Linked DNA regions of Tamandua tetradactyla. Each later gene encodes a partner of the first gene's protein in a complex. Links are inferred from orthologs where the notes say so. Each region holds a gene or a part of one and is shown on either strand. Other genes may lie near its edges. The genes, in order: PDPN and CLEC1B.

Region 1 (15,298 bases):
AGCCATCAGGGAAATGGAGATCAAAACCATAACAAGATATTACTTCAAATCCACCAAGATGGCTGTGATCAAAAAGAAAGACAACAACAAGCGTTTGTGAGGACATGGAGAAATCGGACTCTCCTACTTTGCTGATGGCACAGCCACTTTAGAAACAGTTTGGCAGTAAATAGGGTTACCATATGACCCAGCAATCCCACCGCTAGGTCTATACCAAAGAGAACTGAAAAATACATCCGCACAGAAGCTTGTACACAAACATTCACAGCAGCAGTGTTCATAAAGAGCCCAAAGATGGAAACGAACCAAATGTCCAACAACTGATGAATGGATAAACTATGGGATTTCCATATAATGGAATGTTACTCAGATATAAAAAGGAATGAAGTTCTGACGCATGGTACAAAAAGAATGAGAGTTGGAAACATTAAGTAAAAGAAGCCAGACACACAAGGTCACACATTGTATGATTCCATTTATATGAGACGTTCAGAACAGGGAAACCCAGAGATGGAGAGTAGCATTAGAGGGAAGTGGGGAAGAGGTAGTAACTGCTAGATGGTTCAGGGTTTCCTTTTGGAGTGATGAAAATGTTCTCAAAATCAATGTGGTGATAGCTCTACAACTGTGAATATCCTAAAAGCCACTGAATTGTTTACTGTTCCCAAGGTTGGTTCTGTAGTATATATGTATATGAATCACATCTCAAAAGTGAAGTAAAAGTATGCTACATGCTTTTAAAAAGATTGATTCTATAGTATACAGAGTATACGAATTTCATCTCAATTTAAAAATTCTAAATACAGTGTGGAGTTATAAGAGGTGAATAAGAAACCAGGAAATACTGATGCCTAATGAGCTGGAAGTCTTGCAAGTTCTTCCAAGAATTCGATATCTACCCCCCACCCCACCCCAGTTGCTGTCTCTTCTCTAAGTCTCTTTCGCTCCCGACTCTCCCATCCCCCCCGCCCCAGACCCGTCTCAGGTCCTATACAGCCTCCTCATTATTAATTTTCTCCTGACGTAGTCATGCTCACCTGACTGACATTCTCCACCCTCCACTGCTGCCTACAGGAAAAGGCTCAGCTGTCCCACTCAACATAGACTCATCCTTCCCCCGGACTTCCTGACACTAACTCATCCCGTGATTCCAGCCTTCATGGCTCTCACCAGCCCTGGATGCCCCCCACCTGTTCCCACACAGATCCCAGATTGCTCTAGTCTCCATGCATTTGTTCAAGCAGCTTCTCCTGCCTGGCTCACGCTTCCTCGTCTGGTCTCGGCAGCCCCACCCACTGCTCACAGCCAAAATGAACTCCGGCCTTCCCCCAGGCTGCCCCTGGCTACCAAAGGCCACAACAATCTCCCACGTCTCTGAAGGCCGCAGATAACGGTGTGCCCTTCTTCCTTAAGACACCACACATATCTGTCTTGCCTCTATTTGAGAGCTGTGAGCACTCTTTATACTTCCTCTCTTATTCTCAAAGCTCTTAATAGCATGAGTGCCCTGTAAATGCTTAAACGGCAACTCAGGCGGTGACCATTTGGTGGGGGGGGGGGCATAGATCTTGCCATTTAGTTCTGCGCCCCCAGCTCTAGTCAAGTTCATCAATTAGAATGATCTAGCTGTCAAATAACAAGTGGCGTCGCTGCTGTAAGGGGCATTTGAAGAAACAAAACTGGCTGGCTTTCCTGGGTGTCGTCTGCGGCCCTGACTCGAGCATGGCCAGCCGCACTGCCGAGCGGAAATGGGCGTGTGCTGTAACCCTGGGCTGCCTGCGTGCAGGTCTCACGACTGCCATGCATGCCCCAGCAATGTGTCTGGGTGTGTGCCACTAAGCCTGTCTGAGCCTCTTTGCTCATCTATTAAATAGGAATTAAAAAGGAGAGATTTCCACTCCTACACTTGTTGTGAGGCTTAAATGCACGGGGCTTGTAACATACTTGACACCTGCTAAGTGCTCCTTAACGCCAGCTGTGGTTGTACAGATATCAGCACCACCCACTATTAGCACCATTCAGAATCCAGTTCCCTTCGCTTTACAGACTCAGAAAGTTCCTCCTCTTAGAAGGTGATCCCGCCCAGGTGAAACTGTTAGCCCACAAGTGGCCAGAGTGCCAATTAGTTTATTTAAAATGGGAAAGATGGTTTCCAATAGTCAATTCTGCCCTTCTCTGGAGAGAAATGCCTGATTCTCAGTATAGAGAATTCTGTTCGGTGTCCGAGAACAAAAGCGAAGGGTGGGGCCGCTCAGACCGAGATCCCCGATTCTGGGTAAAGCACCACGACTGGAATCAGAACCCCCACGGCCACCAGACCGAAGGTTGTCGTGCTAGCTGTAAGCAGTGGTATGTGCCTGTCCGTGCTGCACGCCACTGGTTGACTCACAGCAGTTACTCAATAAATATTTGTTTAATAAACGAATTCCTTGGTCAGGGCAGGTTTAATGATAATCAATCCTTGTTACTTTCTTCTTCCTTTCAAGATTCTAGGCAGGATGGGAATCCTGTTCTCCAAATCACTGCTTTTCTTACGTGATGGTTCCTGCTCCCGAATGGAGACACTTGGTGAGTTTGCGGGAAGCTCCTGTTCCCATCGGTATGTTTACAAGTTGTCCAGTGTGTCCCCTCAGTGGCCTAGGTAGTCGGTGCTACAAACTCAAGTGTAGCCATTGTGGCCCGAGAGTGCTGCAGCCACGTCCTCACCCCACTGCCCCGTGACGTGACGCTCCGCTGCCCTGCTCCTCTGGAGCTCAAGAGCGTGTCACCCTGCCGGGAAGTGGTGCCCTGACAATTCCAGCTTTCAGTTCCCCAGTGACGTGGGTGAGGTGGTCAAGTTTGCTGGATTCCCCCAAACTCAGTCTGATTCACTTCAAAGGCCTGAATCCAGCTTCTCTGAGCAGTTAGGCAAAGGCACTCAGTGGGACAAGAGGGCGAGCCCTCGACCCCTCCCCGCTGAAGCTCACGGGAATCCATGCCGGGTGGGCCACCTGTCTGCAGGCTGGCTGCTGGCCCTGGGACTGAACACGGAGAGAGAAGCAGTCACCTCACACCCTCGGGGACCCTCGGATAAAACAGCCAACCACTTGCCTTTCCCAGAAATTGTTAAGAAATCAGTTGGGGAAGGAATCAGAATGCCCATTAACAGAGGCTTTATCTCTCACCCCCTCCTACGGGACTCCTAAGAGGAATCTCAGCAACAGTTTCCTGGACTTTAGAAGTGCTCGGCCCCCTCCCCCATCCCACCGCTCATCCTTGGAGTGTCTTCACACAAAACTCTCCCACGGGTGCTTCCTCCGAGAGGTGTGGATGGTGGCAGGAGGGCAAGGCTCCCAGGAGAGCCAGGCTCCCAGGAGAGCCTTGCAGGCGCCTATGCAGATGTAATGAGCGGATGCTGATGGGTGAGTGCTGAATCTGAGTCCTCTCTCCCTCCTCCTGCCTCCCCCTCCACAAGCTGGAACCTGACATGGCTGGTCTGAGAAGCCAGAAATATGATGACTATTTAGCTCAGCCAGTGGAATTTAAAGGCCGGGCTCACTGCTCTGCCGGTGGAGCGTGGGAGGACACTCCCTGATGCTAGGTCCTGTGCACCCAGCACCCAGGGGAGGCTGCCTAATTGTCTGCGGGCTGAATTAATGAATCCTATTTTAACGTCATTTTCATTCTTGGAGGAATATCATGGTGAGCGGTGAAAAGGAATTTTTATACCTTTTAAAACCGTGTGTACCTTTTTAAAAGTTTGCTTTCACGTTTAAGGAGATTAAAATGAGGTGAACCTTTAAATTTCAAGTTTAACCTTCATGTTTTTTTTGAGGCAAAACAATGGAGTGAAAAGAGCTTGGGGTTGGGAGTTAGACTTATTCTTGAATCCCAGCTCTGGGATATTCTGAAGATAATTATGTATAATTTAGCAGAGTTAGGAGGCTTGAATGAGGTAACCTATGACATGCCTAGCGAGTGGTGGGGGCTGGGTATGGGAGAGAGGTGGTCTCTTCCTGCTTGGCTGGACCATCCACTGAAATACCAACATTTGGGGCCTTCCTAACTCTCAGGTATATAAAATCACTCATTTGCACTTATTTCTCAGGGGCCAGGGAAGGGCAGAAGGGGCCACGTCCCTCTGCTCAGCAGGGCTCAGTCTTGCTGGCCATGTCTCGACTTAGCCTGCTCATGCATGGGCAATTTTTTTAAACGTGCTTTTCGGCATTAAATGACATTTGGGATCTCATTTCCCAGCATGACGGATGGGCAGATGTCACAAAGCCTCTCACAAACCTGATCTTTATTAAATGCTTGATCGGTGCCCTCAGTGCAACAAGGACTCTCACCGCCCCACGAAAATTTCAGGACCTCCCAAACTGGCAGGAGTTTCGGGGAAATCACAGGGAAATTTGTTGGCAACATGATTAATCCTGGGTGGATTCGTCCCGGAAAAGCAGTAACTTGCAGAACGTCACAAAATAAACTGTGTAGCGGAGAGGCCTTGCTGTGCGTGGTTTGGACTGAGTGTGGGGCCTGGCCATTGAGGCTTCCTGATTCCCCCTTGAATCCGCTGTGTGGCTACTGATCCCCTTTGAATCCACCCACATTCAGAGGGGCAGACATATGGGACCAGATCATAAAAGGGAAACAGATCAGAACACTGGATGAGGGAAGCCCAGCCTTGTGGTGGTTCTAGGAGAAGGTTAAATAAAATCCACCACCATAATTACCCCTAGCCCAGCTCCCCAACAGCAGCCAACAACAGCTCAGCTCAATGAAGTTATTCATCCGTATTCAAGTTGCCTCACTCATTATCCGCAGACAAAACCCCTGCAGGGCCTCTGCTTTTTGCCCGCAGCCCAGCCTCAGCGCCGCCCGAGTGGAGCTTCTTTCTAAAGCAGTGGAGAGTTCCTAGCACCAGACTTGGTTGTCTGGTCAGACAAAGGTTCATCACCAAATCTGAGGAGGACAGTTGGCCTCCGGAAGATAATTACTGCTCACCCTTCCCTCGGAGAGGACAGAGGACATTGCCCAGCTGCTCTTTCCTTAGTAGAGCTGGGATCGGGCTCCGTCTGGGGACCTCCCACACCTTCCACTGGTGAGCACAAAATGGTGTCATTTGCACACTGTCTCGCCAAAAGGGAAATGTAATTGAAATGCAGAAGTGTATATATTCCACTGGAAACAGAAGTTCCAAAGTTAGGCCTGCCACGAATAGCGCCGCTGGCCTCTCTGAAGCTAATTGTCTGGCATAGAGTAGCGCAGGCTGCATCATTTCCCTAAGGCGGGGTATTTTTATCTTTGTATAGAATTCTGGAAATCTAGCTTAGGCTCATCCCTCCCTCAGACCCCTCCCCATTCCGGAAGGGCTCCTCAAGACCAGGCCTACCTCACTCCTTACCGGAGCTGACCAGTTCAGACAACCTCCAACCCCAAGGATCAATACCCGGTTAACGATTCCTTCTTGGGGACTTAATGAGCATCTACTACGTGCCACTATTTTAGCCCTAAGCATCAAGGCTACGCCTAGCCGTGTCCTCAAGAGCTTTTAGTCTACTGGGGGAAACAGATGAAAATAAAAACCCAAGGTGGGGAAATATGAAATAATGACATGTGCCTGCATGTCACTAGGATACTGGCAGAAAGAGAAAAGGAATGAGAAGAGGATGTAAGAGTAGGAGGAAAAAGTAAGGGAGACCATGCAGTGCCACCTCTGCCCCGCTTCTTTAGATCAAATGCTTTTAAAGTCCAGGAGTCACTAATGCGTGGCCCCAAGCCAACGCAAACCTCAATTTCCACAGCAAGACTTTGGATCTTTCCCTATCCACACCATCCTCTGTAGCAGAGGCTGCTTCCAGCACCTCCCCAGTGGTGGGGTCCTGAGTGGGTTCTCCATGTGTGCAGCCCCCAGGGAGTCAAACGCCCCCGCCGGGCCCCCCAGCCCTTCCCACGTTCCCACCCGGCTCCACTGGGCCCACCTCTTCTGAAGCGGTGGGCATTCCCCACAACACACAGCCGCCCCTGCAGGGAAGACCCTTGGCTCCCCACCCTTCGCTGCCTGTGGATTCGGGGGCTCCTCCTCGGCTGTCTCTTGGGGACTTGGCACCGGCTGAGCCGCTGCCTCTCCTCCCCGCGGGGGCCGAGCCCGGCATGCACCAGCAGTCCCCGCGCCCGGGCGCTCTCCTGGGCAACCTCGAATACCAGGCCGAGCATTCCAGCAAGTCTGCGCTCGTCTCCCGAGCCGCCGAAGCCCGGCCCCTGCCGCTGGGCGCTTACCTCCTTGTGCCAGGACCCAGAGCGGGGCGCTGCCCAAAACGAAGAGCAACGCTAGCACCTTCAACATCTTTCCGGTTGGGTCTTTCTCTTTGGGGCCGAGCAGCTAGCTTGAAAGCGGAGGGGCGCGGGGGAGAGAGAGCAAAAGCTCGGCAGCCCCTGGGCTGGAGGGGCCGGGGAGTGGCGCCTGGAAAGCGGGGAGCAACAGCCCCAGCGCGGGCGGCGTCCCCCGTCTTCCTTCGCTGGCGGCCGCGGCGCGGGCTAACTTTGCAATTGAGAACTTCGGGAGCGGAGTCAGCATTTATCTCTCCCAGCGAGGGCGGGGAGCGGGGTCCGCCGTAAGGTGGTCCCAGGCCCGGGCGCGCAGGGCCCGCCCTCCCGCTCTGTTTGGCCAGCGCGAAAACCAGGATCTCGGGCCAGGTTTAAAGTTACAGGGCGGCGCTGCGGGGGCCGCCGGGACTTGGGTTGGGGGGCCTGAGCCCTCGCCAAACTGGCTTTAACTGCGTCCAACCACCGGAGGAAAGAGGAGTGCCTACTTTCGTGACCGGGTAGGGGGGTTCGCGCACGCCATAAGCCTTTTTGTCCTTGACATTTTTATTTTTTAGGAATAAAGCCCACGCTTAGGTTTTCCATCATTAGGTTTCTGAAGCCAGAAACAAATTATTCCTTGTGTGGCCATTGATTGTAGCACCAAGCAGGGAATTGGTCTTGTGAAATTCGAATTGAATGGCTTTTTCTTTTTTAAGCGACTCATCGCATCGGGGTGGGCTCCAGCTGGTGGTAAATCGCGCCCTTGGTCACGGGACCCCGAGCGGGCCGCGGCGGGGCTGCCCGGGAGCGAGTGCAGGGAGCTGTGCAGAATCGTGGGCGAACACCTGTGCCCACTTCGCTCCGTGGCGCGTCCCTTTTAGTGCTGGAGTTTGGCCGCTCCTTCCCCACTTGGCCGGTTTGAGCGAGCTTGGCCCCCACCTCAGGTGCAGGATGTCAGGAACAGGAAGAGAATTTACCGGTTTTTTCTTTGTTTTAACTTTATTTCCTTCTGAACCGCTTGGATTTTTAAATTTTTACTTTTAAGAAGAGGCAGTGAAGAGTCCTCCACTCCCAGATGCCACGAATTCCGTTCAACAAAAAGAACCCAAAGGTCCGTGCTCCAAAGCTCTGTTCTAGGGTGAAAATGGTTGTTTTCAGATACTTTCACTAGATCCTGTTGCCAGAGGTACTTTATGATAAGACTTTCCTGGGATGGTTCTTTAAAAAGCTCAGAGTTCTGGGCTCCCCCCTTCAAGCTCTTTAAATAAGACTCTGGGAAGTTTGGACAGGTGCCCCAGGAGAAGTTAACAGGCATAGCAGTAAATCTTGCCCTCCAACAGTGCTTCTCAAACTTTAGCTTGCAGGTAAATCACCTGGGGGGCTTGTGAAAATGCAGGCACAGCTTTGTGGGGCTGGATTGGGGGGGTGGTGTTCTGCATTTTTAAAATCTCTGGGGTGAAGTCTGGGCTCCCGCTAGGGCTACAAGGTAAAAGCTGAGAGCCAGAAGGAAGAAGTAGAAGAGGCGCTGGAGAGCTGAGTTGGAAAACTAGGGACAGAGAAGAGAGCCTTTTCTGAACTGACTTCCCCATTTTGCTAATACATTTTAATATTCCAACATGAATAACGTTTGAGGAACTGTGTAGTAAATGTGCTATCCTTAGAGCTTGTTAGGTAGAAAATAGCTGCCCAGCCCACCTCACCTACGGCAAATTTCGTGGGCATGCAAGGGTAAAACACCTTTAATTGGAAACTTGAGACTGAATGGAGCCTAAGGGAGGGGTTAAATGGAGTTAATTTAGAGGGATGCTTGGGGCTAGTTATTCAAGAAGACTGCCCCCCTCCCCAGAGGGAAGTGTCCAGAATCTAGAAGGTCAGTTACGGGCCTGCTGGTGGGGGGAGGGGTGGTGTAATAGGGCGTTGGACCATGCCGGAGCCTTGGAGAACCAAGAAGGGCCAGAACAGGGCAAGTCTGTGAGCAGCTTCTCGGGGTTTAAATAGATGGGAACAGTGCCTGGACCTGTGATGAGGGGAACCTGGAGACCAGACAGAAAGGCTGTCTTTCCTCAACAAAGAAAGCAGCAGGAGAGAGAGGGAATGCTCTGAGCCAGGGTCAGGCTAAAGAAACTGCAGGAATGCACCTGAGATTTGGAAGCCTGAGCTCCGCTGGAGGGAATTACGAAACAAAGCAGCATGTGCTCCTAAAGGGATGACTTTGAATGGTGACGAGGATGCTACTGGTGCGAGGCCATTTACTGACCTTTACTATGCAAGCCAGGAAAGGGAACTCTCATTAAGTCCTCAAAATGACCTTGAGTCAGAAACATTGATAAGATCCATTCTGCTTAAGAGGAAATAGGCTTAGAGCACTGGCTTTCAAAAGTGGGCGACAGCCTGCATACACACAGTTGCAGGGTGGCAGGTTCAGATACAGCTGGCTGGAGCTCCTTCCAGACTTTCTGGGTCTTTAGGTCCGGGGTGTAGTCTGACAATTTGCCTTTCTAGCAAGTAGCCAGGTGATGCTGCTATGCTCAGAAACGTTGGTTTAGAGCCCATGCAAATGGTCTGGGCTCACACAGCTAATGGTTGGTGGAGCTAGCGTCCCTCTAGTCTATTGCTGAGCAGGACCTGAACCTGTTGCCAGTCTGTGCCTTAAGGATTAGCAAGGAGATGTCTATCAGCTGTTTTTAGGAAGCAAAAGGCCCCAAAAGGGAGGGAGACCAGGGTGTGAAATGAGAAGGAGCCAGGAAAGGTCAGGAGAGTGCGGAGTATGCAGGCAGGACCCTCCATCCCAAGGGATGCTAGAGATGGAAAGTTAGGGATACCTTGGTGTGCTGGTTTGAATCTGTTATGTACCCTGGAAAGCCATGTTTTAATCCTGATCTTATCTTGTGGGAGCAGCCTTTTCTTTTAATCCTGATTCAATATTATAGGTGGAGAATTTTGATTAGATTATCACCGAGGCGATCTGGCCGGCCCAATTGTGGATGTGACCTTTTGACTAGATGAAAATGTGACCCCATCTATTCCAGGTGGGTCTTGATTGGCTTACTGGAGTCCTTTAAAAGGGGAAACATTTTGGAGAGAGCGCAGAGCTGATAGGCAGAGCAGATGCAGACACCTGGAGGGCAGTTGCTTCAGAGCTCATAGAGCTGTCGGGAGACCTGAACGTTTGGAGATGCAGAGCCCGGCGGATGTCGCTGTGTGCTTTCCCATGAGATGCTGAGCGGGCAAGAACCCAGAGTTGTGTCTGCAGGAGGGAAGTGGAGGCCCACAGATGCCAAGTGAGGAAACTGCACAGGAAACAGAGGCTGAAAGCCACGGAGTCCAGGAGCAAGGGACGAGCAGATGCCAGCCATGTGCTTTCCCAGCTGACCGAGGAGTTCCAGCCCCATTGGCCTTCCTGAATTAAGGTATTGTTCCCTGGATGCCTTAATTTGGACATTTTTTATGGGCTTAGAACTGTAAACTTGCAACTTAGTAAATTCCCTTTATAAAAATACCATTCCACTTCTGGTATATTGCATTCCAGCAGCTCAACAAACTAATACACTTGGGTTCCCCACTTTCTTTGAGGACTCTGTGTATTCTGGAGAACTGTGAGCTGAGCTTTTCTAGACTGCCTGGGAAGACTTCTCAGTATCTTCTCTTCCTTCTAAATACACACTGTTCTTGAATTGAGCTGCCACCTGAGCAAATCTCTGCTTTCAAGTGGGGCTCCATGTCCCAGGAATGACTCATACATTTTGAGACATGAGCTGAGTTCCAAATGTACATAGCAGGAATGAGTTGGGGGTAGGGGTGAGGGTGGCCCTGGACCTGAAGGAACCCACAGCCAGCTTGATTTGCTGGAAAGGGCCTCAGTATTTGGAATAAAAATCCAGCTCCACAGATGACATGGGGCAACATCTGGAAGTTTCAATTTCTGCTTCTTTAAAATGGGGGTCTAATTCCTATTTTGGAAGGCTCTGTGCACAGCAAGGAGCACTGCTACTGTAAGTGCTGTGATGGTTGTTTCCACCAGGCCCCTCCTGTTTCTCGGCTCCTTTAGTCCCCCTGTGCCCACCTATGCCCACCTGAATACTCACCAAGCCCCAGGCCCTAGGTCAGAGGCTCTTGACATGGTACCAATAGAACTGGTTTCTTTTGACCTTCAGCAACCCAGCTGGACCAACAAGCAGAGACTCAGCATCTAGTCATCCTTCTGCTAGTCCAATCCTTACCTTGAGCTTATCCCTGAGAGCCCACCCTGGAACCCTGGGCCCAAGGCTCCCTCTGGGAAGTCAGAACAGCAACACCCAGAGCTAGTATTCTGCACAGGAGCTCCAGCTCAGAAACTAATTCTTGCCACCTGCCAAGGATTGCATGAATAGAGAGCTGGCTTGTGTTTCTGACAACGACCCACTCTTGGGTAGAGGTGGCCACTGGGGGCCTCTATCTCCAGAGCCCCCATTGCTCTCCCAGGGCCCCCCACCATGCTGGCTGCTTCAGTGAGCAGCCTGCCCATACCAGTGGTCTGAGTTAAAGGGTGTCATGTTCTATTCCAGCAGCTGCACACAGTTTTACTCATGTACCCCCTAAATATTTTTTGAAAAGCTAGGTACCAATTATTTTTTATCATATAGTTACATAGTTCTTTATAGGTAGAATATGTTATTCTTTATGATATATTAAACTTTATAAGGAATAAGGTGAAGATGAACTATACCTGGAAAAATAGTACATGATCTGATTTGATGAAGCTTGCTGGATAAGTGCACTGACTATGAAAAAATTATAAAAAATGTTTATCTGTGAATGTGAATCACACATTTGACATTTTTTGATAGAAGACCTGGAAAACTTTCCAAGTTATGTTTAAAAGAATCAGCATCACTAACGGACACTCTTTTTTTTAAAGCTGAGGCACTTTTATTAATTTTTTCATTATAAAAATACACATTCATTAAAGATAATGTGGAAAACAGGGGAGTAGAAATGCCATATGCCCAGATTTCTTTGTGTAAGTTTGTCTTTTGATATAATTTCAAATATATGGAAAAGTTGCCTAGATCTATCCATTCATTTACATTTTACCCCTTTGCCTCATTCTTATTTCTATATTTACATCTACATGCACATTGCATTTGTTCTGAATAATTTGAGAGTTAATGGCAATCGTAGGTCCTTCAGCCCTAAGGAGTTCAGCCTAGTGGTTTGGGGTGTGTCTGATGTTTCCTCCTGATTAGATTCAGCTGTGAGTTTATGGCTGGATGGTGGAACGAGGGTTGGCCTGAAGAGCCACCTGACGTCAGTTTTGAATATTGAAGATTGCTAACTTTAATCCCTGGATTAAAGGGTTCTGATTCAAAATTGGGAACTCTCCAACATGGAGCAAACACCTCCCTTAACAGAAGACGGGGGAGGACCAAAAGCTGCTTCCCAGACACCAACCTTTCACATTGGAACCTGGGGCTGAAAAAAAATTTTTTTTTTCACCCCAGAACATGCACCAAAATAAGATTTGGGATGGATAAGGATCTGCCTTTATTTTGTGCATGGGAGAAAGGCTATTGCGAAGGTGTTGTGTTCATCCCCAGTTTTAGGAGAAACATGAGGATTTTGACATTGATTCTCTTGAACCCTTCCATGACCCTCAGAAAGTCTGTGTACCCCCAGTTTGAAGATCACTACCCTGTTCCCCTGTGGGGCTGGATCTCCTCCTAGCATTAGGTCCACCTCACCCCAACCCACCCCACTGTAATTAGAGGATTGAACCCAGTGTGTTCCAAGCTCTCATCTCTCTGCCCACTTTGAGGGATCATGAGCTCTCCAAAGCCAAGGGCTTATTGGTAGATTTAGATATATTCCCCTTTGTAGCACCAGCCAATGGCATATGCTCCATAAATATGTGTGAAAGGAAAGCTTGTGATTTTGTCCAAGAAAGGTCCTTGTCATAGAAGACTGACTCCCAGCCCACCCTGAGACACAGTGATTGAGCAAATGGCAGATGATATAAAGCCAGCTAGCTTGGCCATATGCAAAGACAAAAAGGGTGATTTCTGAAATGCTGGAAAAGCCCTGCTGTAATCTCTCCAAATCTCCGTATACTTCCCCCTCTTCCTTGTAAACGTGCTGATAGCTAAAATTCTATAGAGATTCATTCCTTAGCATGAAAACCTGATCCCTTTTAGAATGCAAGTAAACCTGGGAAGAATTGTACATTTATCATAATTGGTATTTCAGAAGTCAATGTGGATGGATTTCTCTCCCTATGCCAAGAGCAGGATTTGATAAGGTGATGAGGATGAAAGTTTCCTGGATGCCGTCAAGGAGCAGAAAACACACAAAATAGAAAGCCCTGTGTTGTTGGAGATTCATTTTACCCATTTCATAATTTGGTTTGGATTCATGCTGTTTTCCAGTTGCTATTGTAATGCATTGATTCACTCACTGAATCACTTCCTTATTGAAGCCTATTACATTTCCAAGCAGTGCTCTCAGCCCAAGAAATGCAGCTGATTGTCCTTTCTCCATCCTCTACTCGACAGATGTGATGTGGACCTACAGCTCCACTTTCACACACTTGGGTAAAGGAAGGTCAATTCATCCTGGGCCATATCTCCGGTGGTCAAGGCATGGCCCCTGTGACTATCTCAGGACAAGGACCAAGGTGTAATGTTCAGTTTTTCACTAGTTTATTAAAAGCATCTGTCTTTTGCTTGGAGCAATAAGGAAAACGTTCAGTGGTGTGGATTAACAAACTTCTGTACTCTGTTTTCCTGGGAAGTCATTGGGGCTCTCACCTAGACATGAAGCTGTGTGAAGGGTGAAATCCACGGGCTCTAGAACTGAGAACTCTGCCCTGGAGAGGGCATGACTGCTACCCTTAGAGGAAGCTGAAATAGCCCATCTTATATATTTCAGTTCTGACATTGGCTCCACACTACATGAAATAAACAAAAGAAGAACTCAGGCCAATGGGAATTTTTATCACAACAAATTGATTTTTAAATGCTACCCTACTCCCTCCAAAAATTCAATAAGTTTGCTGAATATACCAGTTGATTTGAATTTAGATATCACTGGGGGTTGGGGGGAAAAAAAAAGGAGCACCGATTACTTTAATGGGTTGGGGGCATAGAGCCAGTTTAAATTTTTTTAATCCTCACTGAATTTATAATGGACAGACAAGCATTGGGAGACATTGACTTTTTTTTTTTTCTTAACCATTCACACCAATACACACAGAAAGCTCCTTTCACTGTTGTGTTCAGAGAGCCTTTCATTATAAAGACTCAGCACTCTGCTTGGAAAACAATCTGAATGAATGCATCTCAGTGTGGGAGGCTTGGAAAGTCAAGTAGGGACAGGGCTGGGAGAGGAGGGAGGCGGGTGTTTACTTACTGCTGTCTTGAAGGTTGATTGCCTAGAAAACATTGACACCAACCTCTCTTACCTTAGTTTCCCTGGGTGTAAACCCGTGGAGATGATGGTGATAAGGTCTCTGTGTGTCTGGGTGCTGGAAAATTGACCACAGTGACTTGATCCTTCAATCTGCAGGCTTCTGCCCGCGTGCAGAGAGTAATGACAACAAACCTAGTGTGATGCCAGCCTGGAATTCCCTCCCCAGAGCGGGTCATGCCCTCCCCAGAGATTAGGCCACACGGCCGGCCGCAGTACAAGCTCCCACCCCTCCTGCCTCCACTGCCTCAATCCTTTTGGAAAACTCTGGATTTTAATAGTATTTTGAAAACCCTTTTGTTGAGGTCCCAAATCTGTCTTCATCACCGTTCAGGAATCTCATTGAAATATTCAGACGTTAGTATCTGCCAAGAGGTGGGTTTGGGCATGACAGCAAAACAGGAAAAGGCTGAAAAGTTAATAAAGCTGGAAAAAACCCCACAACTTTTATGTCCGCAGTCCCCCCTGCCCAGCTCGCCCCAGCTGGCTTTCAACAGGGGAAATTTGGCCACAGAGCGGGTAAGTCCTCCCCTTTGTTTTGAAACAGCATGTTTAAGGTTTCCACAGGGCCAGTTTCTCGTAGATATTAGAGGAACTCAGCTGTTCACTTCAGCAGAGCCAGGGAGCCTGATCATATTTTTATTACCAGCACTAGCAGCAGGGAGCTACAATACAGAATATCTATTCTTTCATTAAACACTATCTATTAAACATCAGCTGTGTGCTTGGAAGTGTCTTTGTCTCTTTGGACAGGGAACAAGACATATAGGTCCCTATTTCTGAGTTTCTTACGTTCTGATGGGGAGGCAGGTGATAGGTTCAGAAATTAATCAAGTAAGTAGAGGTTGTACAAAGTGTTCTAAAAAAAAAAGTCGATGGAGTAGAGCAGAAGTTGCCTACTGCATACCAAAGACAGCATCAACTTTCTAAGGAGATGCATGTGGACATAAAAGTTTAAAGGCAATCGATTTTCAGAATGTCAGCTGACGTGTTCTTTTTGCTAAAATGGATCTACACTCCCCTTTCACAATGGTTCTTCTTTCATTCTGCTGTAGAAAGACAAATGTTTCGGATTCATCCTAAATCCTACAATGGGACATGCCCAAGGAATATAAAGCCCTCTGAGGGCCGATAAGGGACAATTCACAATATTGGCATGTGTGATGCCGCATTTAGCAAGCACCGTGCACCCACAGGAGAGCTTTATGTCTTTTCTTGGAGCGTGGATATTTCTGTCAAGTGTGAAGTCGAGCTCTAGAATTGGGCATTTTGACCCACGTGGAGTTATTCTAAGTTCAGATATGGTAACTGAGACAGAGGGAGTGGAGATCATTTTAAGTTTGTGATCTGGTCTCCTTCATACCCTGAGTCTTGACCCGGAATGCATTGCTCCTAAGAAAGACTCCGAGGAGAACAAAGCAAAGAGAGGTCGAAAAGACACATTGAAGGCAGCAGTGCCTCGTTTCAACAGGAGGAGCTCGTGGCCAGGTCTCTCTGCCTTATCTATCCATCCACATTAGAATCAGAATTCTGAAGCAGGGTGCTTTTCAAGGAGGTGTATATTAACATGTTA
Region 2 (15,678 bases), on another chromosome or scaffold:
TTTAAATATGGAAAAAAATGGAAGTTAAGGAGGCTTCATGACCAGTCCATAGTCATGCTTTATCATCTAAATTATTCCACTGTCTCCAAGTGTAGGTTTCTTTCCACTACCTTATACCGTCTTTCAAACTCACTATTTTTCACAGATTAAGTCAGTTAATCCCTAGACTTTATTGTCCCTATTTTAACTGTAGAGGTTTATATCTGAAGATGGACTTAATCATACTGTATTCAGATAATCAGAAAAGGAAGACAAGAAGAAAAGGATTAATGGAAAGCAGAACAAATGGGAAAGAAACGATCAATTCAGAGCTGGCTTTTGGGTATGTAAGGAAAGAACAAAGTGATATTGGTAGTGAAAATTTCATAAAGATGACTCCAGGGAGCAGAAAGGGAGTAATACAAATTTTACGACTGGTAATCCCTTCGTCCATATCTTTTATTGTACATTCCAGCACTTGTTTGTGATATCCTGTCCACCATCTGCATTAAAGTAGTTTCTCTGTATTTGCCATGTTAGCTTTCTGCTCACACATTAAAAAACGTTTGCTATTGCAGAAAGAAGCATAGACTTTCCCATTTTCAAAATAGGCACAATTCATATTTTCTCTTCCATCTCCAGAAAGATCAAACCTGTGGATCAAAAAGGTAATATAAATTCTTTGGAAAGCTAAATAAACAATCAACAATCACACTCTTTGCGTAGTATTTTGTTTCCCCCAAGGGAGGAAAAGTATAAAACAAAGTTCAGGACCTTGAGAAACTTCTAATCTGCTTTGGAGTACAAGGTCTGTACATTTGAAAAGCTCAATAGCGATTCAATATAGCGTAAGATTATATAGCAAATGAACAGTAGGAGCCCAGAGGAAGAGATGGACGGGGGTCTGAAATGATGGAGAAGGACTTTATTTGGAAGATCATACATAAATTTTGTCTTGAAGGGAGGGTAGGATTTCGATATGAAGAAAGGGGACAGAAGAACCTTGCTGGGCAAACAACTGCATAAAGTGGGAATAAGACCAAGGAAAAGAGAGTTGATTGAATTTTTTGAACTGAAGATTTAGTTTTAGAATTGTGTATATGAGGCAGTATATTTATTGTATTGTAATTTCCCATTAATTGTCTATGTTTCCAACTAGACAGCTTATGGTAATAAGACAATGGACATTTATTTATTCATTTACATGATAATATCTGTGAAACAACTACTTTGTGCTAAAGACTATGTCCTTTCCATTGGGAAACTTGATAGAAGCCAACAAGGAAATGGTCAAGATGACTTCAGAGATTTGTAAAAGTTATGAAGAAGCAAAGCAGTGACATGAGAGACTTTGGATGAAGCTACAGGTAGGAGTGAGGTCAACTTATTTTGATGAGTAAAGTTAGTCTCAATGAGAAAGTGATGTTTAAACAGAAACCTGAGTCACAAGGGGAAGCCAGTCATGGAGTTCTGGAATCAGGGCATTCTAGATAGAAGAATTCTCAACTAAAAACGTCCCAAGACAAGAAAACAAGCTTGATTTGTTGAAAGTACAGTGGGAAGACCAGTTTTTCTAGAATACTGTGAATGCAGCAGTAAATAATATGAGATAAAGTCCCAAATCTGTGAAGAGGCCTGCTTGTAATCATACTATCCTAGCTTAGTAATTGTCAGATTGTATGGGTTTTGGAAACCAGTTTAAATTTGAACTGGGGAGGCATTACAGTTTGAGATACAGGATGAACAGAAAGTGTTGAGACTGGGGATTGGAAAGTGATATCAAGCAACTCAATGCAATTGGCTTGGTTGGTGGGGTCCTCTGAGGCAGGATTGAGCCTCATGAAGTGAACATTAAACCCTCCTTGTGGACCACAACATACCTGATTCTTGGAGACCTCAGGATAGAAGACTAGGCAAAATGATACTGAAAAGTTAAAGGGATCCTCAAGAGAATAACTTTCAACCATAAGATAATGAAGATGATAATTTTAATTAAAAAATAGTGGAGAGAATCAGAGCAAGGGTCAAAAAAAGCAAACTGTTCCAATGGTAAATTTCAGGGAAAAATGAATGGGGAAAAACATGGGGGTAAAGGTGGATTGTGCCTTAGGTAATGAAAAGAATGGATGACAGGGAAAAGTAGAATTGCCTTATTATCAGTGCTCTTCTGTTAGGAGTAGGGAGTGACTCAGCTGCTGCTTACATAACCCACTGTAGGATATAGGCCTCTCCCAACTTGTAAGTAACTAGCTCTCAGGTGGGAACAGGATTACAGGAATAAAAGAAACTAATAGTGCTTTGTATTCTTAATATTCAGTTACATACATGTCCTTGGAGAGAACTGAGCCATCTTCCCACATCCAGATCCCATTAGAGTTCTGGCGGGATAATCCAATCCAGCGAATTATAGTAGTCCTGCTTTTAATATAATTCTATTGTAAACACAAATAAATACAATGGTAAGAATGTTTCCGCAGCCTTTGGTAATGACAGAAAGACAAAGCTTCATGTAAGACCTTTGACAAAAAATAAAACTGTTGGATTATGTGTCTATTTTAATATTGATGGATTATCCTTTACATTTAGAATTGTACCAAGTTGACTTTAGAATGAAAAAGAAAAGCATATTTGTTGGACACAGGAAAAATTATAATAAAATATCTGGCACTTTAATGATCCTGTGTGTTTATAATATACAAGTATATCTTCTATCAATTGAAGATTTAAACTTCTACCAATTGACTACCAAACAGAATACCAAATATGATTTTTTTTCAATTTAATATAGGGAATTTATTTTTCCTGAAGGTTACTTTCATAGAAATTATGATGCAAAGAAAAAGAAATCTTTGATCACTCATTGGCTGGGGAAAAATGGAAAAATGGAACATACCTTGATTTTTAAATATATTTGAAAATTAAACTCAGCAAAAGTTTAGTAGTTATTTTTGTGAAAGAGACAGAATTCATTTTGAATTGCTTCAGACTATGTCTGAAGGTTTTACTGAAATTATGGCCTGGTCTTAGGAGTAATTAAAATATGACTTTTAAATGAGATAAACAGGAAAATAGCCTGAGAAAGAAAATGAAAAGAAATACATTGTTGTAAATACTTTACATTGCCCAAAATTCAGCTCTACATGCATTTGGTTTTATTACTTAGCTAGCCTATAAAATATTGAATAAAAAATTATTAATTTGTTTCGTTTGATGGGCAAAAATAGAATTATATTAAGCCTTTCTCAAAGGAATTTATAAATAACTTCATATATCTACATTTCGTAATTTACTTTTGTCTCCTCAGCAATTATCACTATTATACTATATTCTATAGCTATTTGTTTTGTTTACTGTCTGTTGCTCCAACTAAAATATAAACTCCATGATGTTAAGGATTTTTGCCTGTTCTGTTTACTGAATAGCTGCAGGTTCTGGAAGAGTTTTAGCACAAGTTTTTGAATTAATGGTGGGTGAATTGATTAATCTATGTGAAACAAAACCAAAAGGAATGCAAATGTTCATATTTTCTCATACCTTTCCAGCTAATAACTCGATGAGAATACATTCTTGGCAACTAAAAATATAACACAGATTTCTTGACGTTTTGTGAAACACAGACTGACACTCCACAAGAAGTATGGTATGAGAATCATTTTAAAATACATTTGAAGTTTAGGGCAGTGCGATGGTGGCTCAGTGGCAGAATTCTAGCCTGTCATGCCAGAGACCTGGGTTCTGGGTGCCTGCCCATGCAGGAAAAAAAAAAAAATGCATTCTATACTTCGCTATTAGACCAGACAGGAAAATGCTACCTACCTGAAATTCAATTATTCCTTATTTCTAAAAAATTATTTCACTCTCCATTTTCATTATACATTTCCAAACAGGAATCAGACTGCAATAATAAGACTCAAGAAATGCTTATATGTCTCCATTGCATCTTTTTGTGCTGGAGTTGAGATTTTAGGGCATTCTCCCATTTCATCTAATCTGAAAGAATTGATTTATTTAGCTATCTTCTTTATGAGTCTGAGCACACAGAAAGAGTAGGTTGATGATACAATAATTTAGAATGATAGAGTACCAAAAATCATAGAATCCGAATGGTCTACACTTATGAGTTCTGTTTAATCTTTGCATATAGATCAAATCCCATCTATTCCAATTACATTTGTGTTCTTTTTTTAATGTAGAAAACTGTGAAAAATTACTTTCTTAGAAACTGTAGGATAAAGAAAATTCCTACCTTTATTTAAAAAAATGCTTTGATAAATTTATTAGATAGAAGGGAAACAACAGGGCTTAGTTTCTGGCTTGTTCCAGGTTTAATGAAGAGAGAAGCTACATTTCATAACAAAGGGAGAGCTTAGATGGATCAGAATACATTTTGCTTCATCAGAGAAAAGAGAAAAACATTACAAAATTGTCAAAAAGAGAAATGTAGAAGAGGAGATAGGTTTAATAGAAAGTTTTCAACTGAAATCCTGTATGCTTTGCATATGAGATTACTCCCAAAATATATGTTTAGGAATGCTTATGAAAAGAAAAGTTTTGCTGAAGTTGTCAGCAATTTAGCAGGAACTGAGAAGGAATTTAATATTGGGATAACACTGTTATTTATAGTTTACAATCATATCGGGTGTTTTTTTCGCACTTCCCAATTCTTTTGTAAATAAGTTAATAGAATTGAGGTAGCTAACAGAGGTGAAATGACTTGTGGCAAGATAACACCAAAACTCAAGGTCTCTTGAGTCCTAGTTCAGCACTCTCTACTCTCGAATGTTGCACTTTTTACTGAGCTTGATAAGGTTCTTAGGCCAGTGCAAACTGTAAGACATAAGAGAAATGTAAAAAAGTCAAAAGTTACATTTAGAGAAATGTAAAAAAGTCAAAAGTTACACTTAAGATTGTTTCCTTATGACTCCAAAACATTTGCCATAGGAAGCTCCTTACCAGAATGTTCTGGCTGGCAATCTTCAGAAGACTAGCATTCCTGACAATACAGTATTGCTTACTCTCTTCCCACGTCAGGTTGTGCTTGAAGAATCCATAGCAACGATCTCCATAATATCTCCAGTTTTTGTCACAGGGGCTGCTTTGTTGGTCTTAAGGAGAAACCAAGCACAGGAACCCTTTCATTGTAAATCTACCTTATATTTTCCCCACATTCAATGTTTCCCAAGATCTCAAGATTCCATTCAGATGTCAGTGCAGAAATACTCTGGAGGCAAGGGAGATCCAGAGGCTATCAAATAATACTTACTGAAACTGTCCTGATCTGCTTCTTTTCTTAAATCTTGACAGAAGTGCTTTGCTAATTGTTGCAAAGTTTCTGAGAGATTTTCATTTTGGGCTCGTAGGTAATTTTGCTGCGTGACAGCTAGATGTAAAATGTAGACAATTTACAATCAGGACCATAACGGTGATGCAAAGACCTTCGCACTGGCTTTCATTTCAGTATAACTACTAGTCTATGGGAGTTTACTAGAAACAGATGAGTAAATGAGTTCTGAAAAGGGGTAAGGAAAAGTGGGACATAAGGCACAAATTAATAAATATGCAAAACTAGGGGTTATCCAATGAAACAGTGAATTATATTTGAAGGAGACAATCACTGATAAGAAAATCTCTTGGTCAAATAACATGCCCAAGAAGGTTATTTTGACATCTCCTAAGCAGAGTTAATAAAAGGTCAATGGCCTCTGATATTTTCTACTCTTCATGTAAGATCAGAATATTTATTCATTTAAAAAAATGCATACTTCTTTCTTGTTATGCTCAAAATACAAAGAGATTCAAATAAATAAAAATGGTGAATTAAATATTCTTGAATATTTTATGAAAAAAATAAACAAGAATGCACATAAGCAACAGCTATACAGATTATAATGTGACATTGGAGCGCTATTAAGATTATAGGAAGAAAAAATAATATTTATGAATTAGGTGCACTATAAATGATCTCTTAGGGTAAGTAAATAAATTCAGTGAACAAAACAAGATGGAGAACATTTTTGGAAGATGGGATAAAACGAGCAAAACTTCAGGTGGGGGTTGTAGGTTTTATTTTTGAAATTGAGAAGACTGACTTGGCTAGATCTTAGGTAGGGAGAAAAAATGTGTTTTAAAAGATAGTTTGAATTCATACTAAGGAGAGTTTTTGAAAGCCAGGTTAAAATTCTTGAAAATAAGTTTTAATAATGAATAAATTAATTAGTTAAAAAGTGATTTTGATCAGGAGAAGAGATAGTCAGGGCTCTCTTTTATTGAGAATTTCTTGATAGATATGTATAGGATGGCCAAAGTAGTGACACATAGGACACTTAAGAGCTCAATGTGAAACAACAAGACCCTTAAGAATTGCCTATCTCAGATCAATGAGTTAATACTTACACATAATCCCCAGAACCACCAGCCCAACAACCATTCCCACGCACAAGATCAGCAGAGTCAAAGCCATCATACGCCACAAAGGTGAGGAAGCAGGGTCAACTGTTGGCAGATGATAAATATGTCAGCGAGCAGGCAATATGGCACAGCTATGGGACACCATCATCCCTGCCACTGACCTCTCAGAATTTTCCAATAATAAAAATAGCTTCATGAGCAGATCTTTCCTGTGTTCCCTTGGTGACCATCAATACTAAGCATAATCTTCTCCCTCACCTTACATCCATCCCCATCTCCAATGGACCACTCTTCTCTGAGCCAAAATATTACCAGCAGTTAAAGTTTTGCAGGTTTGTCTTTCTTTTGGGTTCACTTCTTTAAATAATTGCTTTAATAAGCTGTAAATAGAGAATCACATCCATTTGCTGACATTTTTAAAAATAGTGGTTTCCAGACATCCCCTCCCTGACCTCCCAGTTAAACTTTACAAGTCTTTTTTTTTTTTTTTTACATGGGCAGGCACCAGGAAATGAACCTAGGTCCTCGGGCATGGCAGGCAGGCATTCTTACCTGCTGAGCCACCATGGCCTCCCCCTTTACAAGTCTTAATGTAGTGTTCACTGCCTGCCTTTTGTTTTATTTGAAATGCCTATGTAGATACCACACAAATGCTCTAGAGAAAGAATGCCATTCAGGAAAAACAAGCAAATAGTATGCTATCACTAGAGGATAAAGGGAAAATAGGGTTGACCTATTTCACTAATTAATTTCCAAATTGCTGGATATGGGCATTCTTACCTGTAAGTCCTGAGTTAAGAGTTGGTTTCCGAGATTTAATGTTTAAGGTGATGTATCCGTCTTCATCCTGCATGGCTTCACTTGAAGGGTGAGTGAGTTCAGGGCACAATGACTTTGCAAAATGTAGTGTCTACTCTCAGAATTTCAATGTCTGTTCATCTGTGACCCTCCTCTACTAGAAGGGTAGAGCTCTATGATTTGGAATACATGTGGTTGTGCTTTTTTTTTTTTTTTCCCAGGAAGTTCTTCCGTAGCTACTTAGAGATCCATGGACACAAGGATAGTGAAAAATAAAAATGTAATAATAATAACTTGTGGTTAAGGAGTAGATAGGGCATTTGTTTCCTGTTTCCTTATCTTCAGCTCCAAATGAAGGGATATTCCATCATGCATATCCTTTCAAAGAACAAAAGTTTGTTTGTTTTTTTTTGAAGTCACTGTTCATCTAAACCCTAGTGTAGTCTAAATCAGGTTATTTTAAACGAACTGATGGCTAACGAAAATTCATGAACTTAAACACTAGCAAATAGAGTACCTCCTATCCTGAGGACTCGGTCTGCTATAATTTGACCTAATATTGACCAAATTATTGTGTCATTGGCTTGTGGCATAGGGAATCATTCTCATTTAAGATCTAGAATTTACCAAATTCTTGCATTTTTCTTAAATTAATGTAATATACATCACAATATACGTATCCACATGTTCAACTTTATGACATGGGGATTTAAATTTTTAGTTCAGTTTATATTGAAGTTAGTTATAATAAACAGCCATGCAAAGTTAGCTGCTGTGCTCATTGTGGGGATGTTTGCTGAGGATATTGTCTATTTTGCCATTAGGGTAGCTAATCATTTTATAGTGGATGTTTTATGGAACTTCCATAGTCAGAAAAGCTGAACAACTAGCAGACATTTATTCTTTAACATGCTATTTAGGGAGCATACTCCTTCCTTTTCCCCATTATCTCCTTCACTCTGAATTCTTTTTATAATTTAAAAGTAATTTTAGAATAATTTAAATAACTTTATTTTTAAATTTCCTCCCCTATACACCTCAAATTATTTTGAGAATGAGGGGAATAAATAAAACAAGTCAAAATAGACAATGAAAGGCATTGCCTGAATTTGAAATCCCAAATTTCTGTGTGATTCAAGTATTTTCACAAAAATTAATCCTTAATCAAAATTCCCACTTGGCATCAAATAAATGCCCAGTTTAATAAAAGGAGAAAAATCATACAATCAAATTTCTTAAATTTCGAAAACTAGTATGCCACAGAGTTTATCTCAGTTAAAATATTCAGTGGTTCCCGATCATAAACTAGAGTAAACTCAGACTATTTATTACTCCACTGCGCATCTACCAATGCTTCTGAACGTGTAATCTGTCTCAGCTGAAGTGCAGAACAAACCTAATCTTCCAGTTTTAGGAGTATTTCTCAAAACTGGAAATAATTCTGGAGAAATTATTTCTCCAAAACTGGAGAAATAATTCCACCCTCCCTCCCTTCTTTCTCTTTCACCCTAACTCTCTCTTTTTTAATAGTTTTTTTCTAAAATATACAGGAATACTGATAGATAATTGTGACTAAGTGATCAACAGAAGAGAAAATAGGTGTGGAGTGTATGATTCAAATGGCACGTTTTGAATAAACCTTTACTCTGTCCTAGTAATCAAACAGTTAACTTCGAATATGTAATTATTTAAATTGAATCTCATATGCAAACGCAAGAACCATGGATATTTGGAAATCTCCATTATTATTCTAAAATTTTTCTTATTTAATTAGTAGAAACTATAACATGGTATTAAATGTGATAATTAGCTTACTTTGATGAGTTTTCTATATTCTCTAGGCCTTGGGCAATTGGTTTAATTATTTAAAAAGTCTCATTTCTTATTATTATTCCCTAGGAATATGCCAAGATTACCTATTGATTCATTAGTGCTTAAATCCCTACATTTGTCACCAGAATTAGGTAAGCTGAAACGAGTAACGTCAAACTCAGATGATATTCATTTGTCAGGATCTGGACTTTCTTTTGGTCTTCTCCTCCTCCTGATTGTATCTACAGATGTAGCCCAAGCCATGGACTGAGGAATTTATGTCCAGATCTACATTCCATAAAACATGCATTTGACCTTTATTTATATTCTCTCCAAACATGGTGGTGGTGTTTTAGATACATATTTTGTTAGTTGTGAGAATGACTGGGTCAAAACATCTCCTGATAATGTGCTCTTTCCCTCCGCATATTCTATAAATATATGCGGAGTTACTCAGAAAAATGAAGCAGAGAACAGAGTGAAAGAGAGAGATGTAGAAACTCTTCTCTTTCCCTAAAATTCAGAAGCTTCTAGATGTCTTATAACCATCTTATAGAGCTCAAATTATTATTGACATATTTTCTTTCCCTTGTATATTTCATCCCTTCCTTTTTTTTTTTTGGCTCAAGAAACAATAGCTGAACGATGCCCTTTACTCCAAATTTCCTGGTGAGTCTGGACTTGCAATAAAAATCTTTATTTGTTTAATATTTTAAAGATTGAGGGACTTTTACATAAATTATCTACTTTGTTTTAAAACAGAAATTTAATGGATGTTAATTATGTTTCAGATCCTTTCATTTTTGCTGAGCATTCATGGAAAAACTCATGGAGAACAGATTATTCATTTTTAGCTTTCTAAGCTTTAGTTTTTTAGTATTTAGAAAAATTCCTCCTACCACCCCCACCACATAATGACCGCATTTCTGCCCCTCTTCTTTGCTTTACTTTTTTCCATAGATTTTATTAAATTCTTGCACTTATGAACCTAAGAATGTATCCACAGATCTAAAATAGTGACTGACATACAGTTACCATCTAATAAAATATTTTTTGAATGAATGAATAAATAAATATACAATGGAGGTTATTATTCTAATGTTATACACATAGGAAGAGAAGATGAAGGTAATTGTGAGACTTTTCTATGATCATAGTACTTGTAAGTAGAGGTACCATTTATCCAGTTTCCCAGTTCAGTGTTCTTTCCTTTGCCTCTTTTTTAAAATAAGTAATTAAAAATAGTAACAGTTTTTAAATATAACATAAAATTAGACATTTTAACCATTTTTGAATGTATAATTCAGTGGCATTGATTACATTGCAATGTTGTGCCACTGTCACCACCATCTATTACCAGCACTTTTAATCTCTCCTAAAAGAAACTCTTTACCCAGATACCTAACTTCCCATTTCCTGATCTCCCCAGCCCCTAATCTGTAATTTACAAACACGTCTATTAGTTTGCTTATTCTAGATATTTCATATGTGTGGAATCGTACAATATTTGTCCTATGGATCTGGCTTATTTCATTCAGCAAAATGCTTTCAATGTTCATCTGTGTTGTAAGTGTACATCAGAACTTCATTCCTTTTCATGCAGAATAATATTTCATTGTATGGATATACCACATCTTGTTTATCCATCCATGTGTAGATGGACACTTTGGTTCTTTCCACCTTTTGCTGTTGTGAATAATGCAGCTATGAATATTGGTATAAAAATATCTGAGTCCTTATTTTCAGTTTCTTTGTATACATACCTCAAAGGGGTATTGTTGAGTCATATGACAATTCTATGTTTAACTTTCTCTAGAATGACCAAACTGTTTTCCATGGTGGCTGCACCATTCTATCAACAATGAACAAGGGTTCCAGTTTCTTCACTTCCTTATCAACACTTGTTATTTCCTGTTTTTATTTTCATAATAGCCATCCTTTGTGGGTATGAAGTGATGTCTAATTGTGGTTTTTGATCAACATTTCCCTAATAACTAATGATGTTGAGCATTTATTCGTGTGCCTATAGACCACTGTTGAAGAGATTATTATCTTGAATAGATTTACCATTCATCAAATATCAATTGTTTATATTTATGTGGGTTTATTTTTGGACTCTGAATTCTATTTCAGTGTCTAAATATCCATCTTTTTGCCAGTGCTACACTGTTTTGATTACCTTATTTTTATAGTGACTTTTGAAATTGGGAAGTCTGAGTCCTCTAACTTTGTTCTTATTCAAATCCTTTTTGCACTTCAGGACCCCTTATAATTCCATATGAATTTGAGGACTGTTTTTTTCCATTTCTTTAAAGCAGGATGTTGTAATTTTGAAAGGATTGCATTGAGCTGTAAATTACTTTGGGTAATATTACTACCTTAACAATATTTAGTCTTCTCATCAAGGAAGTGAAAGGCTTTCACACTGAAAATTACAAAATGCAATGGAAAGAAATAAAGACCTGCATAAATAGAAATTCAACCCCTTTTCCATGGATTTGAAGACTTAAACACATGTCAGCTTTACTAATGAGAAAAATAAAGTAATGTGAGGTTAGGTAACTTGCCAAAAGCCACAGGACAAGTAAGTGTTGATATTGGGTTTAAAACAATTAGTCTGTCTTCACAGACTTTCACTTTTTTCATGTTCCAATAAAACTTTATTTACAAAAAAAGGGAGACAGATCAAGCCATAGTTTGCCAAACTATGTTTGATGTAATCTTGGAGAGTCCTTACAATTAAAATATAAAAGATGAGGACCTGCACTGTGGTTGTCAGTGCACCTTCACATCATTCTAGAACATTGTCTCTATCAGTAATACAGTGATAAGAATCACTACCACTACTTGAGAACCTATGGGTGAAGCATTTTTTGTACTTTGTTCACCTCCCAACAATCCTATGGGTGGATATTATTGTAACACTCATTTTACATACGAAAGAACTGAAGGTCAGAAAGTTTCCCTAACATGTCCATTGACAAAGAGTTGGTAAGAACCCAAAGCAAACACTGTGACTCTTAAACCTTTGTTATGTTTTTGCCACTTCATGGCTTTAGATTAAAGGATTAAGATGGTAGAGAATCCAATTTCCTTGACAGGGAAAACAAAACAAAACAAAACTTAAATATACTAAATTAAATGTTAAACCACAATAATTTCAGAGACTATTTTAAATTATAAAATATCTTAAAATTGTAAAATAATTGGCATCTTAAAATGCTATCTTTCAAGACACAAAACCAGCAATGGAACATGCCAATGCCCTCAAAGAACTTGTCATCTGTCTGGCAAGACACAGGAAATAATGAACAAAAATAAAGCTCCAGCTTAATTAGTTACAGTAGAAGTGCTTTTAATTGCCCTTTACTCACCATACTTGACAAATAAAATAACACATTGCTAACACTCAGCCTGATGCCCCCAGGACCCTGTGAGCATCAACAGTAGACCTCTTGGGTGCTCTATTAATTTTCTATTGCTGTTATAGCAAATTATCACAAATAAAGTGACTAACACAAACACACATGCACACACACACACACACACACACACACACGGATTTATTATCTTATTTTCTGGAGGCTAGAAATCCAAAATCAATCTAAAGTAAAGGAATTGGCAGGGCTGGTTCCTTCTGAAGGGCCTGAGGGGCAAATGCTTTCCCCTTACCTTTATCCACTTCTACAGGCTGTCTACATTCCTTGGCTTGTGGTCTCTTCTTGGCATCACTCCAACCTCTTGTTTCTGTCATCATATCTCTTACTACTGACTCTGATCCTCCTGTCTCTCTCTCTCTTTTTAACTTTTTTTATTATATAGTATAACATACACAAAGCAAAGCAATAAAAAAGCCATAATTTTCAAAGTACTCTTCAACAATAGTTACAGGGCAGATCCCAGAGTTTCTCATGGGCTGCCATATGATTGTCTCATATTTTTCCTTCTAGCTGTTCCAGAACATAGAAGGTAGAGGGCTTAAATATTTTTTTATCATCACAATTGACTTTTTTTTCCTTTCTTTAGTTGTGAAAAATGACAAATATACAAAAAAGCTATAAATTTCAAAGCACAGCACCACAATTAGTTGTAGAACTTATTTCAGAGTTTGACATGGGCTACAATTCCACAATTTTAGGTTTTACTTCTAGCTGTTCTAAAATACTGGAGATTAAAAGAGATATCAATTTAATGATTCAGCATTCATATTCATTTGTTTAACCCTATCTTCTCTGTAGAACTCCACCATTACCTTTGATCTTTCCATCTCTCTCTTTAAGGATGTTTGGGCTATGGCAATTCTAAATTTTTCATACTGGAAGGGCCTGTCACTAATACAGGTATGGAGATGGAACTATCTGATGTTCTGCAGAGGCTGGGCTAGGTTTCAGGACTTAACTGGACCAGGGACCCATCTGAAGGTTGTAGGTTTCTGGAAAGGTATTCCAGTGCATGGAACCCTTGTGGAATTTTATATATTGTCCTCGGTGTTCTTTAGGATTGGCTGTAATGGTCCTTGTTGGGGTTGGCAGATTATGATTGGCAGCAAGATCTAACTGAAGCTTGTGTAAAAGCAACCTCCAGAGTAGCCTCTTGACTCTATTTGAAGTCTGTCACTGATACTTTATTAATTACAATTCTTTTCCACCTTTTGGTCAGGATGGAATAATTGATCTTATGATGCCAGGTCTGGATTCATCCCTGGAAGTCATCTCCCTTGTCACCAGGGAGACTTTCACCCATGGATGTCATGTCCACGTAGGGGGAGGGCAATGATTTCACTTGAAGAGTTGGGCTTAGAGAAAGTGAGGCCACATCTGAGCAACAAAAGAGGTCATCCAGAAGTAACTCTTAGGCATGCGTATAGGTAGTCTAAGCTTCTCTGTTACTTACATAAGCTTCACAAGAGTAAGCCTCATGATTGAAGGCATGGCCTATTGATTTGGGCATCTCTAAAGTTTGACACAGTATCAGGGGATTCCCTGATGGTAAGGTTTAATAGTTCCATATTCTTTCTCCCATCCCTCAGGAGACTTTGCCAATACTTTTTGATTATCTTGTTAATTTACTCTAGGATGTATCTAGGCATTACAATAATCTATACAGGATTAAAGGACCTCTTTCGTATTCTGTGCTCCCTGTGTTTCAAATGTTCAAATGAGCCATACAGATAGGTTGAATTAGATTATGTACTACAGAAAATTTCAGTTCCAGACCAAATAAACATTTCTTCCATTGGTCTCAAAGAGTATGTGAGGCTGTAAAATACAGGCACTGTCTTCCTTACCCCTATGTTTTGAATTACTTTAACTTTAACCTGTTCAGGTTATATATATATATAACAGCCTGTCAAAATCCAGAAATAATAATCACCACTCTGGATTTAAAGTGCCTGCTCTAAAAGCTTACAGTCTAGGCCCCTGTTTTCTTATAAGCATTTTCTAAAGGTGACCATACCATTCTTGTTCTTTTGTTTCTGGCTTATTTTGTCTCACCAAATGCCCCACATGTTCATTCACATCGTTGCATGCCTCATGACTCTGTTTCTTTTTGTAGCTTCGTTCATAAGTAAGTACCAATCTACTTCTTCGTCAGTGCATCCTTCAGCCACCTGCATTCATGGGCATCATGTATAGTGCCCAAAGTCCACAGTCCATCAACATTCTCAATTTTAGATCATTTCATTGTTCCCAAGAGAAAGAAAACCAATAAACATACTCTCACCAAATAAGAAATCTAAAACTCCTCTTAACTCTTGTCCCTCCCCCCATTATTTAATTCTGCTATTGCTGTGGTAGTGCTGATGGTTTCTTTTTGAACATAGCTCATAATGTGCAATAGCAGCTTTCTCCCTGTACCCTGGGCTTAAACACTTTTCATACCTTTGAAGTGATTCTTGTGAGAACTAATTCATATTTCTAGTGTTAATCAGTGGAACACATAAGTCTATATAACCCATTCAATTTTGTTCATCTTCAACGTGGTAATATTATTTATAGACCCACTAGAGAGACAGCTTCCCTTCTATCCCCTTACATTGGAGTTCAATCTCATTCACAGCCTTTGATTTTAATCAGGACAATTTATTATCTTTATTAAGTGAATCTACATTTCAAAATAAATTCTATCCCATATCTCATCCTCTGGCTCCTCTTTGTGGCCATTTTTTTCTTTCTGGTTGTAATTTATCTTTGCTTTTTGTTTTTGGTATTGTGGGGAATCTTGTTTGCATTGCTTTTAATAAACAACTCTGAATTAACTCCTGTTCTGGCATGCTCTGGGTACTATCCAATATAGGATCTCTTTAAAAATGTTCTCTGAAGTAGACCTACCATGTGGGGATGGAATGATCATCGAGGAACACAGAATGTGACTTCCAGTAGTTTAATATTGGCAGTATTTTAATGTCTCTGAAATCATCAATACTTCCATCTTTAATACCTGTATTCCTCCATTTCTACAGTGAACGGGATTTGCAGAAGGATTTAATTCATGTGACAGCAGGAAGACCAGTCAAAGATGATTCCAACTTTCTGACTCTGCTATTTGGAGTTGCCATTTACTGAGATAGGGAATCCTAGAATGGAACATGTTGATAAGAGTTGTTTATTTTTGGATATGTTAAGTTTGAAACTCCTGTAACTTATTTAAGTAAATATGGCAAGTCAGCAGTCAAATGTA

What was found.
Region 2: the proteins of PDPN (region 1) and CLEC1B are in contact, whole or in part, in a crystal structure (PDB 3WSR), measured with the Homo sapiens proteins. The link is inferred for Tamandua tetradactyla from reciprocal best matches to the Homo sapiens genes PDPN and CLEC1B. Residues at the interface, in NP_006465.4 of Homo sapiens: Ala46, Glu47, Asp48, Asp49, Val50; in NP_001380271.1 of Homo sapiens: Arg107, Phe116, Arg118, Arg152, Thr153, His154, Leu155, Arg157.

The regions. Positions count from the first base shown.
Region 1 is NC_135328.1:212,275,477-212,290,774, forward strand, and holds the start of PDPN (podoplanin), read right to left. Parts: upstream 6,591-15,298; 5' UTR 6,326-6,590; coding exon 6,259-6,325; intron 1-6,258. UniProt on the Homo sapiens protein: Mediates effects on cell migration and adhesion through its different partners.
Region 2 is NC_135333.1:72,462,789-72,478,466, reverse strand, and holds CLEC1B (C-type lectin domain family 1 member B), read right to left. Parts: upstream 7,484-15,678; 5' UTR 7,241-7,483; coding exon 7,168-7,240; intron 6,764-7,167; exon of another isoform or gene 6,646-6,763; intron 6,472-6,645; coding exon 6,373-6,471; intron 5,360-6,372; coding exon 5,243-5,359; intron 5,085-5,242; coding exon 4,933-5,084; intron 2,412-4,932; coding exon 2,305-2,411; intron 633-2,304; coding exon 488-632; 3' UTR 403-487; downstream 1-402. UniProt on the Homo sapiens protein: C-type lectin-like receptor that functions as a platelet receptor for the lymphatic endothelial marker, PDPN.